Caenorhabditis elegans: one gene and its partners. The protein of the gene in region 3 interacts with the protein of the main gene of each other region in a pairwise test. Each region holds a gene or a part of one and is shown on either strand. Other genes may lie near its edges.

The links. The genes of interacting proteins can lie anywhere in the genome.
Region 1: the proteins of cdap-2 (region 3) and F09F7.5 interact in a two-hybrid assay, tested with the Caenorhabditis elegans proteins (one large-scale study listed by BioGRID).
Region 2: the proteins of cdap-2 (region 3) and C31C9.6 interact in a two-hybrid assay, tested with the Caenorhabditis elegans proteins (one large-scale study listed by BioGRID).

Annotation. Positions count from the first base shown.
Region 1 is NC_003281.10:5,545,556-5,551,739, reverse strand, and holds F09F7.5 (CRIB domain-containing protein), read right to left. Parts: upstream 4,631-6,184; 5' UTR 4,609-4,630; coding exon 4,523-4,608; intron 3,568-4,522; coding exon 3,481-3,567; intron 3,427-3,480; coding exon 3,363-3,426; intron 3,315-3,362; coding exon 3,145-3,314; intron 2,993-3,144; coding exon 2,909-2,992; intron 2,862-2,908; coding exon 1,856-2,861; intron 1,440-1,855; coding exon 1,290-1,439; intron 732-1,289; coding exon 627-731; 3' UTR 525-626; downstream 1-524. Other genes in the region: F09F7.6 (Ferritin), read left to right, coding at 308-418; putative kinase-like protein D1044.1, read right to left, coding at 5,514-5,760, 5,902-6,014, 6,088-6,184.
Region 2 is NC_003280.10:13,656,067-13,664,020, forward strand, and holds the start of C31C9.6 (WH1 domain-containing protein), read right to left. Parts: upstream 6,025-7,954; 5' UTR 6,016-6,024; coding exon 5,935-6,015; intron 5,891-5,934; coding exon 5,798-5,890; intron 5,551-5,797; coding exon 5,459-5,550; intron 5,414-5,458; coding exon 5,280-5,413; intron 5,170-5,279; coding exon 4,964-5,169; intron 4,917-4,963; coding exon 4,767-4,916; intron 4,672-4,766; coding exon 4,323-4,671; intron 3,997-4,322; coding exon 3,497-3,996; intron 3,452-3,496; coding exon 3,169-3,451; intron 973-3,168; coding exon 769-972; intron 726-768; coding exon 568-725; intron 428-567; coding exon 125-427; intron 65-124; coding exon 1-64.
Region 3 is NC_003279.8:3,327,638-3,332,252, forward strand, and holds the start of cdap-2 (SH3 domain-containing protein), read right to left. Parts: upstream 3,037-4,615; 5' UTR 2,975-3,036; coding exon 2,957-2,974; intron 2,306-2,956; coding exon 2,203-2,305; intron 1,400-2,202; coding exon 1,056-1,399; intron 445-1,055; coding exon 241-444; intron 1-240.

The DNA.
Region 1 (6,184 bases), on a different chromosome or scaffold from region 3:
TTAAAAAATTGCAATAGTTAAGCCCGTTTTCGGAAAAAAATAGTTTTCAATTTCTCTGAAACGTCAAATTATAAAATTTCTCGACTACTTAGCAAAAACTATTCTGTACGCTGGACAAAATGCAAAATTCAAATGACAAAGCACTAGGATTTTGAGTTTCCAAAAGGCTGTAACTGAACATATTACTCAAAAATTGCAGTTTTACGGGGAATTTTCGAGATTGTAGATCAGTTAACAACTTAAAAAAGATAGTGTAGGCCACAAAAGATTATCCCATTCCACCCTTTAAACCCTTTTACTTTTCCAGAAAAACGTATACAACGAGGAATTTGTGACCCCTGCAAAACTCCGTTATCTCCGTGATGATCTGGAAGCCGCCGAGGAGCATCTGAAAAAGTTGCTTGAAACCTCCCATTGACGCGTTTGATCGAAACGGATTCTGTACATACCTTCCAAATTGTTATTTTTTGTGCTGTGAAGAAATGAAAATAAAATATATTGCTTTTTTCGCAAATCGAATCGGTTTTATTTGAGAAATTTATTTTTAATGGAATGGTGGTTTGGCACTGGAATGTAGAGAGACAATTGACTAGAGTTTAGTTAAGAATTTAAGTAAAACAAATAATTTAAAATCGAGTAATAATGAAATTATCGTCGTCTTCGGATTCTGAATCTGATGGGATCATTGCGGCTGCTGAAGGTGGTGGAAGCATGATGAAAGCGTCATTAATCTGAAAATAGTGGGAATTTGAATAATTTTTTGAAAATTAACAAGTGCCAGGAAATAGGACAACTACTGAAGGCTCCCCAGTTAATGATATTTGGTACAAAATCTATTTAGAAATATCTGCTAGGGTATGCAACCTGCCTCGTAGGAAATCTTAACCTATTAGCACTATTTTTGCTCATTACTTGGTTTGATCGATCGTTTGCTTAAAAATGTCTGCACGTACCTATGACAGAAAATTGTATTGAGAGCCCACTTATACATTTTGCTCAGTCTCAGAGAGAAACTTGGGTACGTGCGGACCCATGACCCACCATTCCAAAGAAAAATTTTGTCTAAAGAATTTCTCGAATTTCTTGCTTCTCTAAATCTATTTCTACTGGAAATTCGCAAGTAGTCAGCTGCTTCTTTTTGTTTTCGATCACCTTGTGATCCTATGAATGGCAGTTCCAATCAACAAAAGTACTTTCTCGGAAAAATTGGAAACTAGGGGTAATTAGCAAACTATTTCAAATTCCAATAAGCTTATCTTGGCGATTGATCTTTTATCACTACTAGTTACCTTGTCTTTTGTCGCTTCCACCCGATCTTCTTGTTCATCATTTATTTTTGTATCTCCCACCACTTGAAACTCCTCCCCAATCACGTTTTCGCCCTTTATCTCCTCTTCGACATTTTCTTCTTCTTCTTCTTTTAACGGTTCCGTTGAGACCTGCGAAGAAAAACAAATGAAGAAGAACATTGGTGATTGTTGACTTTTTGATGTTTGTATCGGTTTCATTTAAATAGATTTATATTTGTTCTAGAGGGGAGAGAATAAATTATAGAATCAGGTCAAAGGGTAGCGGAACTGATTTGCTTTCGAAAATGTGAGAATAACTGTGAAAATCGTGAGTACGACTAGATCCAAGTAATTGGAGCAAATATCGTTTAGGTTCAGGAGCACCCGTTCTTGAAACTTTTGCCCCCCCCCCCTCTCATTCAGATTCACAAATATCTATTTTATGGTGACTCATCAAATGGTCAGAAATATGATTCAAAAGTTGAAAGTAATACTTTAATTCCGTAATTCCTCTCTTAATGTTGCACCTACATAACTGATCTTGTGGATCACACAAGAAAGCTTACCGTCTTTCTGCTCCTCGGCTTTGGCACGGGCGGTACAAACTCTTCTTCAACTTCCCGATCCCTTTTCAGAACTTCCACATCATCATCCTCCCCAACCGTCGACAGAATACTTGACACAGTATCTGCATTTGATCTTGACGAGGTAGTGGAAACATCCGTGTTCCCAGATGAAGACGTCATTCTTCCGATGGACATTGGCATTGTTGCTGACTTGATCCTCTTATCATATAAGAACCTGGCAATTGCAGGAGGTACTCCACTTTCGTCACTTGAGCGGAGGTCTAGCGCATTTTGCTTTGTCAAGGCTCTTCCATTGATTAATACTGTACCAGGAGCTTCGGGAGCATCAAAGCTTGGAGCTTCATATGAGGGAGGTGGTCGGTTGGGAGGCATACTCACAGGCCGAGCGGAGAACGCAGGAATAAATCCTGGAGCTTGGAATGTTGGAGAGGAGAGGTCTGGAGGGAGGCTTGGAGCTTTTGGAGCCGGTCCTTTTTTCTTCCGAAGTCTAATTGTCTCTGGAGCTACCCCCAACTCATACTTCTCCACCAAATGCTTCATAAAAGCCCGATCTTTTTCTAGTGCAAGCGTCGGATAACCCGATTCGTCAGTACTGATTGTGGATAATTGATCCCTATCGAGATCATCCAGGTCATCCAACCAATCGTCAAGCTCATCCAAGATCTTTCTCCCTTGAACGGATGTGCTCCGAATAGTTGACATATAATTCGAGTCATCCGGCGGACTCGCCGGACTCAATATCGGTGTCTCCTCCTGATTCTTCGGGATTGCCAAAGGCCGATGCAACGGAGAAAGTGTATTGAGAGGTGGTGTACTTTTAACAATTGGAATGCAATCATCGAGACCGAAACTAAAAGCACCACCAAGATCACCCGGTCTTTCGATCACCAGAGAGTTAGGCTTCGGTGCAACGATTCGGTCGGCGGTTTGGATTTTTGGAGGTGGAGCTATGTGTGTTGAGATATTCGAAGTGTGGGAGATTGACCTGAAAATTGAAAAATTTTTAAACTTCAGGGTCCAATCAAGAAATACCGAAAAACTACAGGTTGCTCTGAGATTTCTGATGTTTCCTCCTCGTCGTCTTGGGCGTTGAAGATCAAATTCGGCTTGCTGTTCCTGAAAGTTTAATTCTCAACCAACTTTTGATTCAGTTGTCAAATTTGAAAGCGCCAGTAAGAAACTTAATTCTAAAGGAAGTACTTCTTGGAATTGAGGTAAAAAACTAATTCAAAAACTGTGTTGTTAGAAAATGTCATACAAATACTCACTGTGGAGGAGGAGTAGGGGGAGCTGGAGCCTTATAATTTTTCTTGCTCGGACGTGGTGGAGCAATATTTATGTATTGGTGGGATGTTGGTTGATTCTCGTAACCTCTGACAACTTCAACCTCTTCTTCACTTTTTGAAGCTGATGGGAAAGCATCATCTAGTCCAACTCTCTGAAAAGTTGAACTTTTTTGGAGAAAAGTAATTAAATAGTTCCCTACATCTTTTTCTTTTCTCTGCGATCGGAGTGTACTATTCGACGAGGAGGGTCTTATGTAGTAGCTGCTGAATTCTTTATTCATCCACATTGAATTCAAGTAATGCTTGTAGATCACAAACCTTTCATTAACCGTATCAATCACATTATCGCTCGTCCGAAGATTTTCAATTTCCGATGATCCCATTGGACCGACATGAGCCAAATGCCTGTAATATAAAAATTGACTATGATAGATTGTTTAAAACCTAAAACACAATGAGTAAAACTAATACGAATGTAACTAATTCGTCTCCGAATCTACTAATTGTAAGAAACTAATTCGTATGAAAATTGTAAGTTTTAGACGTATGGAGGCACGGGAGAGTACAGAGAAGCTGAGTGTCTTAACTCTCCTCCTCTCATATCTTTTTAAACAATTAAAATGGCGAATTGCGAAAAAATTGAGAATTTAAAAAATTTCAGGTAACGTGATTTGTATTATTTTATTTTATTTTTTACGACAATAGCCCATAGTGTAAGATTTAACGCTTGGTACCTATAATATATAACAATGTTTTATCAATTGTTGCTAGTCCACGTGTGATTAGGTACTACATAACAATTTTAAACTTAATATTCATAGTTGACATGTATGCTAGTTTTGCATTATTGTTTCTATCACTGATTATTTTCATGACTGAATTGTTGGCGGTTCCAGCTGTGTCAGCTAAATTACCTAGCAAAATGGTAAGTTTTGTTTCCAAGGTTTCTGATTTCTAAAACTTGGAATTTCAGTCTATGGATGTCAATATGATAATAAAAGAATGTTGTAATGAGATAAGTGTAGAGTGTTGTAAGCCTAATATTTTTGAATAAACTGTTCATGTTTCTAAATGTTCCTCATTTCTAAATGTTATATCAATTAAAAAAAGCACAATCAGCACAATCAATCAGCTATTGGCTAAATCTTGATGAAAGTTATTACACTGTAAAAATGGGTTGGTTAGAGAGTGTGGGGGAGGGGAGAGTGCAAGAACTCCGCTTCTTTCTCGGGCCTAAAACGTCGACATGTCATAATCCCGCTTGAAGCTAACCTACTAATGTTCTTCAAGAACGAATTTGCAGATACATTCCAATTCGAATGTACGGATTAACATAACATCCTCAACTTTTATTCCTTACCTGAAATCCGACGGCAGTGAGATCATAGTTTTATCCAAGTGTTTGTGCTGATTCTTCGGAGGCAGCAACGGCAAGTCGTTGGGCATTTTCCATAAACCCGGTTCCTGTCTTAAATCAAGAATAAAGTAACAAGAGGCAAAAAAAATCAATGGTCAAACCACGCAAGTTGTTGCAAAAACTGTGGAGAACAGACACCCGGAGTAACTGAGAGAGAAAGGGGAATAGAGAAATAACCGATAAAAACGTGTAAGCAGTTGGAAAAAGAGTAGTGATAAGGAATTATTGAGAAGGAGGTGATGTGTTGAAAGAATGATTCATTTGGAATTGGAAGCCAAGAAGTTTGAAGCTCCAATGACACCCGTGCTCAAGCTCCGCCCAAAGACGCTTGTAAGGAATCTTGAGTTTTGTAGCATGGCGGAATATTGAAGCGTCGTTCGATGGCTCCAAAATTTTGACCACTTTCAGGTACTGCATAAAATCAATTGAAAAATGTTAAAATTCAGATTAACATAGAAAAATCTAGCATAGAAACTACCTTTCAAATATTTCAAAAAGTGTTATCAATTTCTAGCAAATAGCAAATTGTTCTTGCTGATCTCCCATAGATTACTCAGATCAAATTGACAAGAGACGCAGCATGTTGAAGTGAAAAAAGAAAACATGTGTCGATCTGATGAGTAATCTCTTGAGGCTAAAAACCGGGTTACGGAAGGGTATTATGTATATGTATACTCTAGTGTTTGACTGCAAGTCGGACGATATTTCGCAATTTGTTTAACATTGATTTACGAAACCTTTGATGTTTTTAATGTATTACCGAAGATTTACTAGGATTATTTTTGTTTCGTAAAGAATTTAAAATGTGTTGTCATATTTGAAATAATGTTTTAAGCAACTTTGTTCATCATCAAAATTTAAAAAATTCCAAATATTAGTAGTAGTTTATTTGTTTTAATGTATAATATAAAAATCTTTAAAAAATATTCTTCTATTACATATCATCCAAAATTCCGATAGTCCGTCTCAAAATCTCCTGAGCTTTGTGTTCCCTTTCGTCAGCTCCACTTTTCAAATCCAAACTCTCATCCTTATACATTTTGTAGTAATACGACAGACTGAATAGTGACGTGGCATTCACAAAATTGAAGTGAGTTCGATAGGATTCTTCGAGTTGGGAGAAAGTGAAGGGAGCCGTGGAAAAATGAGATTTGAAGGTCGTATAGTAGTGGTTCAGGTATCTGGAAAATGGAAACTGACTCTTTGTTTTGAAATGTGTTTTATATCTCCGAACCCGATTTTCAAATCTCGGCCAAAAAGCGGGCCATTTCAATTTTTACTTCTTTCGGTTATTGAAAATGTTTAGACTTAGAAAAAGATACCTTTGAGTATTTGCTCTTCGATTTTCCACTGACAATCCAAGGCACAAAATACGAATAATATCAAAGGAGACGGGACCCTTTGACACGTGCTGGAAATCGATAAATGCCTGGATCTGAAATTATTCAATTTTATTATTAGGAGTAATTTTATATTCTATGACACGTAGTCCTCTTGGACAACTCTACCTTTCCAGTTTCATTATTCCATAGAACATTTGACGCGTTCAAATCATTATGACATATCACCAATGGCATTCCAAGTTTTTCGTTTTTCTTTTCGGAA
Region 2 (7,954 bases), on a different chromosome or scaffold from region 3:
GATTCTGGCTGCATTCGGTAACTGGAATCTGAGTTTCAGATTTACTACTAGATTGATCCACCATCTGAAAAATGTTCATTGTGAGAATCATAAAATATGAGATGAATAGTTCGAAAAATCTTACTTCAATTAAGGGATTAATTTCATCTTGTGAAGGTGGTAATGGAGAAGAAGCAGAAATAATTTTTGAAGTGCGAGGAAGCGGTGTAGGTACTTTCATTGCTATATCCTGTGCAACTGATGTTGAGGAGTCTGATAAGCTGATATTTTTCATTCCATCTATAATTGCAGCATTTGAAACTGGTGATGATGGTGTAGAAGAAAATATTTTTTCTATTTGAACGGGAGTTTGAAAAAGTTCTTGTGGTTGCTCATTTGTGGGTTTTATAAAATATGCGATTTTGGATTTGCTATTCCCGAAGAAGCTCTGAAAATAAGCGGAAGGTGAAACAAATATAAAAATTATTATTATAAACAGAAAAACAATACAAACATATTTTTTGTCAGATTTCTGTTCAATTAAATAACAATATCGGTTGGTAGAAAAGTTGGTGGAGAATTACTTACTTCTGCTGGTAGTGGAGCAGGAAAAGGATTCAAAAAACGAGAAGGAGTTGATGAAGTGGGAAGTGAGGCTGCGAGCACTAAAGAAAGTCCAGCCGAAGTAGGAACAATTGGAGCAGGACGAGCTGGAGGACGAAGCGGAGCCTCTGCTATTGGTTTTTCTGAACAATGAGTATGATTGGGAAAACTAACATAGTTACCCACCTCTAACTCGAAAGGAAACACTTTTTCTCGGAGGTTTTGGTGGTTCTTCATTAATATCATTTTCCTCGTCATGGTCATTCTCATCAATATGAGGAAGAACATTGGAATTGTGAGTTGGAGGAGGAGTCTGCTTAGGAACAGTGTCTGGTTTTGTAGTCCAACGATAGGAGTCCCAATGAGGTGGAATTCGAGAAGTTGAGAGACCTGGAAGATTGATATTTTGAACTGTGTATTTTTAAAGAAGGTGTATTTAGCGTGAATGGGGGCTTTAAAATACCAAGAAAATGATATTAATAATTTTTAAATTTAGAAATACGACAAAGAAAATAAAATAACTATTTACAGTAAACGGAAATGTTTTTACCAAATCTCCCTATTTGAACTTCGTTCAAAAGAGAAGCCACGCCCACTTTTGAACCAATCAGTGGCTTCTACTCAGCACATCTGATTGGTTCAAAAGTGCAAGGAGACAATCATTAATTTGTTTTGCAGTTCACATTTTGGAATTAAATCAAAGAAAGAACTTATCCTAAATTGAAAATGGGACTTTATGAGTTGGATTTCTTATTCTGCCAAGCAGCCTCTAATAAATGCCGAGTGTACAGACTCCGCCCCTTTTTCGCGTTTTTTCGCGTTTTTTTTGGCTTGCGAAAAAATGTCACACTACGTTTTCATTAATAACTCCAGAGCCGTTTGACTGAATTTTATAATATTTGACAGCTTACTAGAAATATTTTGCCCCACGGTGGAGCAAAAAACTGCACAAAGTTTGGAGCAAAACTGAGCTCAGGGCGGCTTTCCCCAGTTTGAAAAAAATTTTTGTTGTTCTTTTTACCCCCAAAAAACCATGTTTTAATTGAATTAAAATTCGGGTTTTGCTCGGTTTTGTTCCAAATTTATGTGCAAGATACTACTCAGAGAGGTGGATTTTTTGAAAGAAAGTTTGAGTTCATAAGTGCAAAAGGCAAAAAGTTGTGATAAAACAAAAGGCCAAAAAATGCCATTTTGCCAAAAAAAAATTTTTTTCCGAAAAAGTAGTTTTTCGTCTTTATCTCAAGTTCTACTTCATCTTTTTCGATACTTTTTTTTCTACCCCACGTAAAAAAATACGCTGAACACGATTTTCAACTCAGAATTAAGAAAAGTTCTATGAGTCGGCCGAGCAAGACGAATAAGTGCCACATTTTGCACACTTTTCTATTTTCGTGAATCTACTTTTTCAATCATAACTCGGTCAGTTTTCAAGTTTTCTTAGTTTTCTAAAAATTGACGTGTAGGTCTCATCAAGACGCATCGAGACATATAAAATTTGTAAAAAGTTCAGTGGGAAAATTTTTCAAGAATAAAATAATTCAAAAATTTAGTACTGGGGGGAGTGGTTTCCTGGGTCTCCTGAACATTTTTTCCACTAAAGTTTTGCGGAATGTATTTTTGATTCATAGTTTTTGATTTTATTTAATGGAAGATGAAGTTTCGTCGCATTAGCAATGCTCTGCCAAGAGATATTATTTTTTTTAATTTTCAGGCCAAAACTTGTTTTTTTTTCTATACATCTGTCTGTGTACAAGATATAGCCCTCAACTGTACGTCTCCCTTTCGGGAATTTTATGATGAGTACAATGCTGAAATAAAATTTTCAAAAATTAGGTTTCCCGCTGACTTATCAGTGATAAACGGTTTTCGAACGTCTTTCCCCAAATAGTCATAATTGAAGAAAGCGGAATCGAAAGACGACTCCCTCCAGAAATTTACCTTCCTTACTTCCAGTTTGAGCTCTCCCGCATGGCCGAGTGGTTAGTGCGTATGTCTGCGGAAATTTTGGTAGTGGGTTCAATTCTACCAGCTGACAAACTTTTTTTGTTTTTTTTGAGTATTCGGGATTCGAATATTATATAGAAATACTCGATTTTATACAAAATATAGGTACGTCTCCCCCCATATAAATCCTCCTCAAACTTCAATCAATCACAACTCAGCTTTAACTGAGTCATGGGGTGCGTCTGTTTTTGGTCAAACCGAACTCAAAAATCAAGAAGACATTGACTCACTGAAAATTTCACGAACCCTCTAACAGGTTCGAGGCGAAGCCGAGAACCTACGCCCGGCAAGGGGACTCGCCTTACACCCCCTACAACTGGCGGGCCCGCAGGGCCCGCTAGTCTTTGTTATTATCGAATTTCAGACTGTTTTTGGTGATTCAAAGACAAACCCGTGATCGCGTTTAAATAGGGTTTATGAAGAAAATGTATTTTTGATGTACATGAAGAGACCTTGATTTGCATAAAAATACAATTTAATTGCAATTTTTTGTCTGAATCTAGTTTTTGTTTGAATACGAATTTTACATGGCTGAAGTCAAAATTAAACACACAAAATGTCGCTCTCAGTCAATCAACTTACTTCCTCGAACTCGCACTGAAGCGCTTCTATTCAGCAGCACTGATGGATCCTTGATGGGATCCGCAGAAAAAGTGTGACTATGTTTGAATGATGTTGCTGCGGTTACTGTAGAGTATTCAGATTCTTCCGAATCACTTGGATTTATTCCGGATCTTCTTGCATCGAGGAAGTTCTGAATCTGATCGACAATTGTTCCAGACGTCGGTGATGGGACAGATTGCCTCGTGTCAGGTGTATCACTGACTTTACGCAAGACTTGTGAACGATCGATTGAACGGATTTGCTGAAAAAAGATTCATAGAAAAATATTGATTAAGTCGAAACTTACATCCATTAGACTTCTTCGATCAGAATTAGATTCTGGAACAGCAGTTAATCTAACTGTTGGTGGCCCAGAGATTTCTTGTTCTAGAGCCGGTGGTGGAGGTGGAGGTGGAGGTACAGAAGAAGGCGTTGCAATCGGTGGAAGTGGTGGAGGTGGTGGTGGAGATTTACTAACTTCGGCAGGTTGCGGAGAAGGAGAAGGATTTGGAATACGTGATGGAGGAGGAGGAGCAGGTTTTGGAGTGGTAGGTGGAGTTGTCGAAGAGTACGATGTTCCAGTCGAAATAGGGAATTTAATAGTAGGCGGAGCCGAAGGAGGGGGCGGTGGAGCCACTCGTGTTGGTGTTTTAGGTTCCACTAGTTTGAACTCAGCAAACTGATCAACTTGATGAGAATGTGAAGGTGCATTTGGAGTTGGAGGAGGAGTCTGCTTTGGTACAGTGTCTGGTTTTGTAGCCCAACGATAGGAGTCACGATGAGTTGGAATTCGAGGAGTTGAGAGACCTGGAAATAAACAGTATATGAAGAATGTCCGAATAATAATAATAAAAGTTAAAAAAACACCACTCCTGGAAACATCTGACAATCTTTGACCCCCTTGAGTCAAGTTCTTTTATCAAAATTTACTTTCCAAAATTGCAACTGTTTGGTAAAAGCTTGAAAACATATTTGAGAGTTATTCAGCAGATGTTGCAATGAAGCTGCCTACTGAGAAGCTCTACAAACACTGGCACCTATCTTTTTTTTTTTGAAAACTGAAGCCCATCTCTTAATCAGTACCAAACAGAAATCAACTTTCCTTCCTTACTAAATACATTCAATATACCTACCTCCTCTAGTCATCTGATCTTCTGGATTTCTTGAAGCACCTCTACTTGGCAACTCTGTCGGTGTATCGTCCACTTCAATTTTCTCAATTTGATAAGTTTGTTCAACGTGTTCTTGTTCGAATTTATAAATGTTTTGAGGCTGTCGCTGATTTGTAGATCCATAAGTATCTTTTCTCGGAGTTTCCCAGTCCGTAGTCTTGATGGGATCGATCGCAGCAAAAGTGTGACTATGTTTGAATGATGTTGCTGCGGTTACTGTCCAATCGGGATTCAATGGATCACCAGTGATGACTGGTACAATCGGTTGAGAAACATCCTCGACTTTTGGTTTGTTACGTCCAAAAAAGCTCTGAAAAAAGAAATAAATCGGTCTTAGATTTTCAAATTTTGGACAACAATGTTTTGGAGTCTTATTTGTCGACTTTTGTCAATTTTCGGACTCACTTTACTTGTTTTGACTTTATCTTTATGTTTGTCCTTAACCCCTTTCACAGTTTGAGACTCTTTTTTCACCATCAATGATTGTCTAATATGATCTTCATTTCTTACAATCAATTGCTTCACAATTTCCTCTTCTTCTTCTGGATTATTCACCTGAAATTTCAACGTAGTCTTGGCAATAGAGGTTTGGAAAACTATACATTCAATCTACTCCTAACTTGCATATACAAATCTTCTTGTACATCTGTCAACTTCAAACCATCAACATGCCGAAAATCTATTGGTGCTCCAAATTCAACTTGTTTTCTTGGTTCCTTGTGGGATTTGAATGGATTATGATAGAAACTACTTTTCTTCTTCTTCTTTCCCTCCAATGCTGGCTGCTTTGCTTTATCGGTACTTCTCGCTGAAATTCAAGTTCCAAGTTTCAATTTGAAAATGTAGCAAGTGGAGTTACTTTCCTTTCCTATATTACTCTTTTTCAAATTCGATTTATTCAAGTAATAATATACTCACTTTGTCGTTTACAAACACTATTGTGAAAGTTCTCACATTCCTTTGAGTCGTAAAAGTTCAATCCAATATATCTGGATTCTGCCTCAAAAACGAGTAATCTCGCATGTTCCTGTATTGTTTCAAACCTTTTGTCTCTATAATCATAGTGTTAGTTGAAATCAAATTATATTCAAGATTACCTAATAAGAAAATCAAATTGAATTGTTGGTTCCCAATCTGGATCTGCAGATGGTTCCATTACTATTATCCGGTAATATCGCTCCGTACTGTTCTGAAAAAGAACTTAAAATTTCGAAAATAAGACCAAAAGATTTAGAGTTTTAGCCAAGAAAAGTTATAAGTGCGTTTTCAGAAAACCACAATAACTACGAAAAATGTTCGAAACATTTTATTTTAATTTTCCAAATCACAATGGAAAAACCATTACGACACGTCCCTCGAATGTTTATTGAAAGAGTCACATGTTTCGGAAATCAATTTTCAAAAATCCAACTTAAGAAAACTGTGTCACTACTCACTTTCAGGAACAATGCCACAGCGGCTCCTTCATCTGGTTTCCTCCATTGTCCATTCTCAGCAACGAGAAATTGACAAATTCCAGATGAAAGTATCTGAAATACCAGTTTTTGTAATATTATAACTATTTAATTAGAACCTTATCACTTGCTGATATTCCTCTGAGAACACTTTCCTTTTCATTAATTTCCAAGAAATCACTCAATTCAGCTGTAATCATTGTCTATCTGAAATTATTTAAAAAATAACTTGGCAAAAAATCTAGCTTTCAAAATTCAATCAATCAAAATTTGTTTCCAATATTTACTCCTTATCACCTCGTGTACCCCCTTTTCCCTTTTTGCGTCATCATATCAGTTTTCCGCTCCGCAAACTTCCATATTTGCCGATTTGTGGGAATGTGTGGAAATAAGGAAAAAATAAACAGTTTATTTGTATGCACATTTTTTATTCTTGAATGATTTGTAATGTAAGAATGGAAAATTAGTGTAGATGACCTCAGTTGAGTAAATTTTTGAGCAGTTTCAGTAGACATAGTTTCAGTAGACATACTTTTTTTGTTTGAAAATACATTTTGAACTTCTCGATAATCTCAAAACACTGATGAAGTTATGAAAGTGCACACCGTCGTTGCATTCCTAAAGCTCTTCCCAGCTGATCAAGTGTGTAATAAAGTTTGACAACAAAATCCAATACTGCGGAAAAAACAAAAACAATGCCTGTATCTCTAGTAATCACTTTGCGCGGAAATATTAAACTGAACTCAGTTTTCCCGTTTTAATATGAATCATTAAAACAAAATTAATGTATAAAAAATGTAGAAAAAAATTTTTTTTTTTGGTCGACTTCCAAAATTATGAGTAGCAAAAACTGAGTAATTGTCACTTTTTGACAGTATATAAAAAATTTCAAAATTTTTTTTGAAGAGTGTTATTATGATACTCGGTCATTTCGGCACAATTGGAGTAGTTTTTAACAGTTTCCCCACTGGCGCTACTCCACCTTTACTATGGATCCCGATCCCCAAAATGTTTAATTTTTCCAGCTTCTCGAAAGAACATCCACTTTGAACGAAGGCTCGTGCACTGGGAGAATTTCTAATATTCGTGATATTGTCAAAGTATTCGCCCCAGGGTTTGAAGGCAGTGATGATGACTTGGACAAGTTGGAAATAGAATTATTCAATTATAAATTGAGATTCCTTGCTACTGGAAGTACTCGGAACGATGGTGTTGTGATGGTGTTTTTAAAAATAATTTTTAAATTTTTTTAAATAATTTTTTTATTTATCGCAAATAATATTATTACATCGAATAAAGCATGCAACTTTGCAAAAAAAAATTATTTTGGTTTCTCCCGATTCCTAGAACAAGTATTCCTGAGACTCTCTCGCTTACACAGTATGCTTGTTTTCATTTTTTTTTCTACCAATCGAAAAAAATATTTGCAATGTTCATTTCTGATTTCTGAGGGTTCTGGTGTGTTCCTACTTGAGTTCAACCCGATTTGAACCCAGAAACCATCTCCAACTTTCTCATGTTCTTATGATCTTTGAAGGCCTGCAGCAGGAGGCAGATACATATAAAAGAGAAAAAAGAAAAGATTTTCATAAATATGGTCGTTCTTTTTGGGTTCATTCAGTTCACTTAGCACGTTGCGTGTTGATTATTTTCGGTCTTATGCTATTTATGTGGTGATGGTGGTGGTTTGATTTGGGTACTGTACCAACAGAGAACGATTTTCAAAAAATTTTGAATTTGTTGCTACATTTTTCGCTATTTGTTACTACAGCCGTACCTCCTAGACAAGTTTTCTTACCCCAAAATACCAGCTTACAGTAACCTGACTACAGTACCCAAACTACAGTAATTATTAAAAAATACTTTTGGTTACAGTAATATCCCTCACAGCAGTATTAAAGGTACATAACCCCCCCCCCCCCCTTGGAACTTTAACTAGAGTGACCGTAACCCGCAAAAGCTCAACTACAGTACTCTTGCTCACACTTAGGCTACTGCGCCTTTAACTACAGTATCCAAACGCCAATCTGCCATACTCTGCCTACAGTATCCTTTCAAATTACCGTACCGTTACTAGGAAGTAGATTGAAACTACTGTACTCTTAACTACATCACCATTTCCCACTAACTACAGTAACC
Region 3 (4,615 bases):
TTAAAGTCTAAAATTTGGAAAAAAAATTAGACTTTAAACTTGAAATTTGTAGAATAAATTCCTCAAATTTTTAATTTTTTTGCTTGAAAATATATTAGTTTATTAGTTTACTTAACAATTTTAAAACCCAAAATTTTAATTTTCGCCGATTTTTTAAGGTTTTCCCATTTTATTTTCCAACTTTTTATCTAAAAATTGCAGAAATCCTGATTTTTTTTTCCGATTTCAGTGAATTTGCACCTTGTTTGTAATATTAATCAGCATATCAATCTCCTTAAGAGCCAGCTCATCATCGTGTTGGGGATTGTAGACAAATTTCACGCGAGCCATTTCTTTCGTTTTCGTAGTTTCTGCGTCTGTGCTCGCCGAGGCTGCAGAGCTCGCAAATGTGCTGCTGAATTTGGTTTCCAAGGCTTTGAGCACTGGAGCCGGGTCCGAGATTATCTGAAATTTTGATTTATTTGATTTAAGTGAAATTCTTCAGTTTCTGTATTTAAAAAATGTTTGAATAAAGTGCTGAGAAGCCATTTATGGAATTTTTTAATTGGAAAAAAACTATTTTCTTTTCAGTTTTTTAAAATTTAATTTTTCAGTTTTTTTTTGTTTTTGTCGAAGATAACTTTAATAAAAAATTGTAATGTAACAAATTTTAATTAAAAAATTTTTTCACTTCTAACCAGAAACTTACAATTAAAAGCTGAAAAAAAAGAGTTTTGGAACAAATTAAAAAAAAAATGTTTGGATATTTATATTTTTTGAATGAAAAATTAGCTGAAAATCAAAAAATAAATCGGCAAATAGGCAAATTGCCGGAACTTTTAAATTTCCGGCAAATCGGTAAAATGGCGGAATCGTAATTTCCGGCAAGTCGGCAAACCGGCAATTGCCAATTTTCCGGATTTCATCGACAAAAAATTGTTGATTTTCAATTATTTAAATTATTTGAATTTTTCCAAAAATTTGAATTTTTGCCATAAAAACTGATGTCTCAGGCACCGATATTTAAGTAAAATCTGTATTTTTGGGATTTTTCAGATTTTTTTCGCTACACGAACCGTCGACGGAGTTCTATCAATAGCTTTCGGCTCGCTTCTCATCACAACTTCACTTCCAATCGATTTTGCCGGAGTTCGAGCTGCTGAGCCCGCCGAAGTTGATGCACTAGCCGCTGGAGCAACTGCAGCAGCAGATGTGCTCGGCGTAGGCTTCAACGTCACAAAATTCGTCGGGAACATTCCGACGGCTCCAGTCGACTTGAGTTTTCCCTTACTCCAGCCATCTTCAACATCAGAGATCAGTTCGATGAGATCTCCGACGACAAAGCTTAGCTCATCGTCTTGTTTTGAGCTGTAGGCATACGTGGCCACGTATATTTGAGCTTGTGGTTGTGGAGGGGGAGCTGCAAAAAATATTTAAATTATTTTTTTGTAAATTTACACAAATTTTAATTTTTTTTTTCGAATTTTTTAGATATTTTTTTTCAGGATTTTCATGATTTTTTTTTAATTGTTAGAGCTATTTTAATATTGTCCCTCGACGAGTTTTTGAGCACCAGATCGTGAAAAAATCACGAAAATCGTGGCGGGACCCATTCGATCCAAGCCCCGCGCCTTTAAAAATGTTTGGATCTTTTTTTCAGTGTTATAATAATAATAATTGAAAACTGGAAGAAAAAAACATCTTTTTTAATTTGAAAAAAAATTAATAAAACTACAAGATTTTAGTGGAATTTAATTGGAAAAACTTTCAGATCGGCCGTTTTTTCCCCGAATTTTCTAGAGCTTTTTGAGAAATTTTCCTATTTTCTCGGACCAAAGCTCTAGAAAATTCGGAGCAAAAAAACGGCCAATCTGAACATTTTTCTAGTTAAATTCTACAAAAATCTTGTAATTTTATCTTTTTTTTCAAATTCGTCAAAAATAGTTTTTCTTCCAGTTTTCAAATATTATACATACTGAAAAAATATCCAAACATTTTTTAAAGGCGCCGGTTTTGGATTAAATGGGTCTCGCCACGATTTCCATGATTTTTTAAAGATTTGGTGCTCGAAATAACGTGATTAAATTTTAAAAATTAGAAACATTTAAAAAGAAAAATTTTCACAAATGAGAAAATCTCCGGTTTTTTTTTCATTTTTTCGACTGAAATTCTCAAATTTTTCGGTTTTTTTTTCAAAATTTCCAACTTTTTTCTAAAACAAACCTCTCCGTTCCACCTGTTGATGTACTGTAAATGGATTTCGATTTGTCATATCTCGGGAAAGTCGATTCACAATATCTCGCACATTTCCAGCGACTACTTCTGTCTGAAAATTGGCAATTTTTAGATAAAGATTTTAATCTGAAGTCTTTTATTTTTTCAAAAAATCACAATTTTCCGATTTTCTTTTGTTTTACATATGTTTTCTTTAAAAATTGCAGTTTTTACACATTTACTTGGAAAAAATAAAAAATTTTCACTTTTCCTAAAAAATCCCAAAATTTCCCATATTTTTATCCCAAAAATTGTAACTTTTTTTTCAAAAAATCATAATTTTTACAATCTGTTTTTTTAAAAAAAAATCAAAATTCTCACACTTTTTTTCCGAAAACTCTTATTTTTACCAATTGTTTTTGACAAAAAAATCGCATTTTTCTAAATCTTTTCAATCAAAAAATAACATTTTTACGTTTTTTGCCCAAAAATCTTAATTTTTACAATTTTTTTTTCCAAAAACGGAAATGTTTCAAATGTTTTTTATTTGCAAAAAAACAAAATTTTCACACTTTTTTAAAAATCTCAATACTAAAAAATCGAATTATTTTTTCTAAAAAGTCGGAATTTTTTAATTTTTTTAATCAAATAATGGCAATTTTCTCATTTTTTTTATCCAAAAAATTTGCAATTTTCATGACTTTTTCGACAATTTTCTCAATTTTCCAAAAAAAAAAAAAAAGAGATTACGAAATATACTAACTTCACCAACTTGTGCCATTTGTCCTCGATCCGCGAGTGTCCAACAAAAAAAACAGTTCAAGGCGGCTCTCGGATACAATTCTGGAAAAAATCACAATTTTTTTTAATTTTAAAATTAAATAAAGACTTTTGTGATTTTTTCAAGATTTCCAAGGTAACGTCAAAAAACCAAACAACGGCCAAAAAAAAAGGCGAAAATCGATAAGGAATTGTTTGTGCAGTGATGGTGGAAAATGTGGGGCAATAAAGTCAAAAACTTCTGTTATCAGTGGGGAGATGTGGAGAAAAATTTTGAAAAAAAACGTGGAGTGAATTTCAATTTTCACTTCTTCAATTGTGTGAGTTTCCCCCGAATGAGTCATCGCAGTGGTGTCTCCTATCGAGCGCCGCCGCGGGAAAGATCAATCACTTTTCGAACGTGTCCCCCTCCCCCACCCCCCTCTTCAATGCGTTGATGACCTGTGAACAGAAAAAAACGCGGCCAAAACAATAAAATCTCGTAAATTTATATTTTGATCGAGATGACATATTTAGGAATATATAATACGAAAATGCAAAATTCTGAGAATGCGAAAAAATTGTGAAAGTTTCGAAATTTTTTTTGAAAAAAAAAGGTGTAAAATTTCAATTTTTGAAAAGAAAAAAAAATTAAAATCTCGGTTTTTTAAACGAAAATTGAAAAAAAATCGAATTTTTTGAACTAAAAGTGTAATTTTAATTTTTAGATTGAAAACAATGTGAGAATTCCAAATTTTTGACACGCTTTCTCATTCATTATGACGGATATTACACGGTAACACGAAGTTGTGAGAATGCGTATTGCACAACATATTTGACGCTCAAAATATCTCGTAGCGAAAACTACAGTAATTCTTTAAATTACTACTGCAGCGCATGTGTCGATTTACGGGCTCGATTTTTGAAATGAATTCAAATAATTTAATTTAAGATTTAAAAATTAAGCAAAAAGTGAGAAAATAGGTAATACAAAGAAACTACTTTTTTCATGTCAAGAATCGAGATCCCGTAAATCGACACCAGTGCTACAGTAGTCATTTAAAGAATTACTGTAGTTTCCGCTACGAGATATTTTGAGCGTCAAATATGTTACGGAATACGCATTTTTACGAGTTTTGTGTTACAGTAATAACGGTCACAATAAATGATTTCCATTTTTGGAAAGGATAAGAAAATCTCGTTTTATTGGTGGAAAAATTGAATAAAAATCGATTTTCGAGACTTTTTTGTCTAAAAATCAAAATAACACTTTTTTAATCGAATTTTTCAATTTTTTCCTTCAAAAAATCAATTTTTCGCGCTTGTTTTTGATAAAAAGGACTCAAAATTTATTTTTTCGAAATATTTTTGAAATAAAACCAAAAAAAAATTTTTGGACCAAAAAATCGAACTGATTTTCGATTATTTTTTTTGAAAACCGTAAAGCTTTTGAAATTTTTGGGAAAATGCAGAAAACTGACAAAATCTCAATTTTTTAAAGTTTTTTTTTCGATTTTAACATCGCGCGAATTTTTTTGTCGACAAATTCGACAAATCGGCAAATTGCCTATTTACTGGATATTTGAATTCCGGCAATTTTCCGGTTTGCTGATTTGCCGGAAATGTTTAGAGGGATTTTTTATAAGACGGAAACACTTAAAAC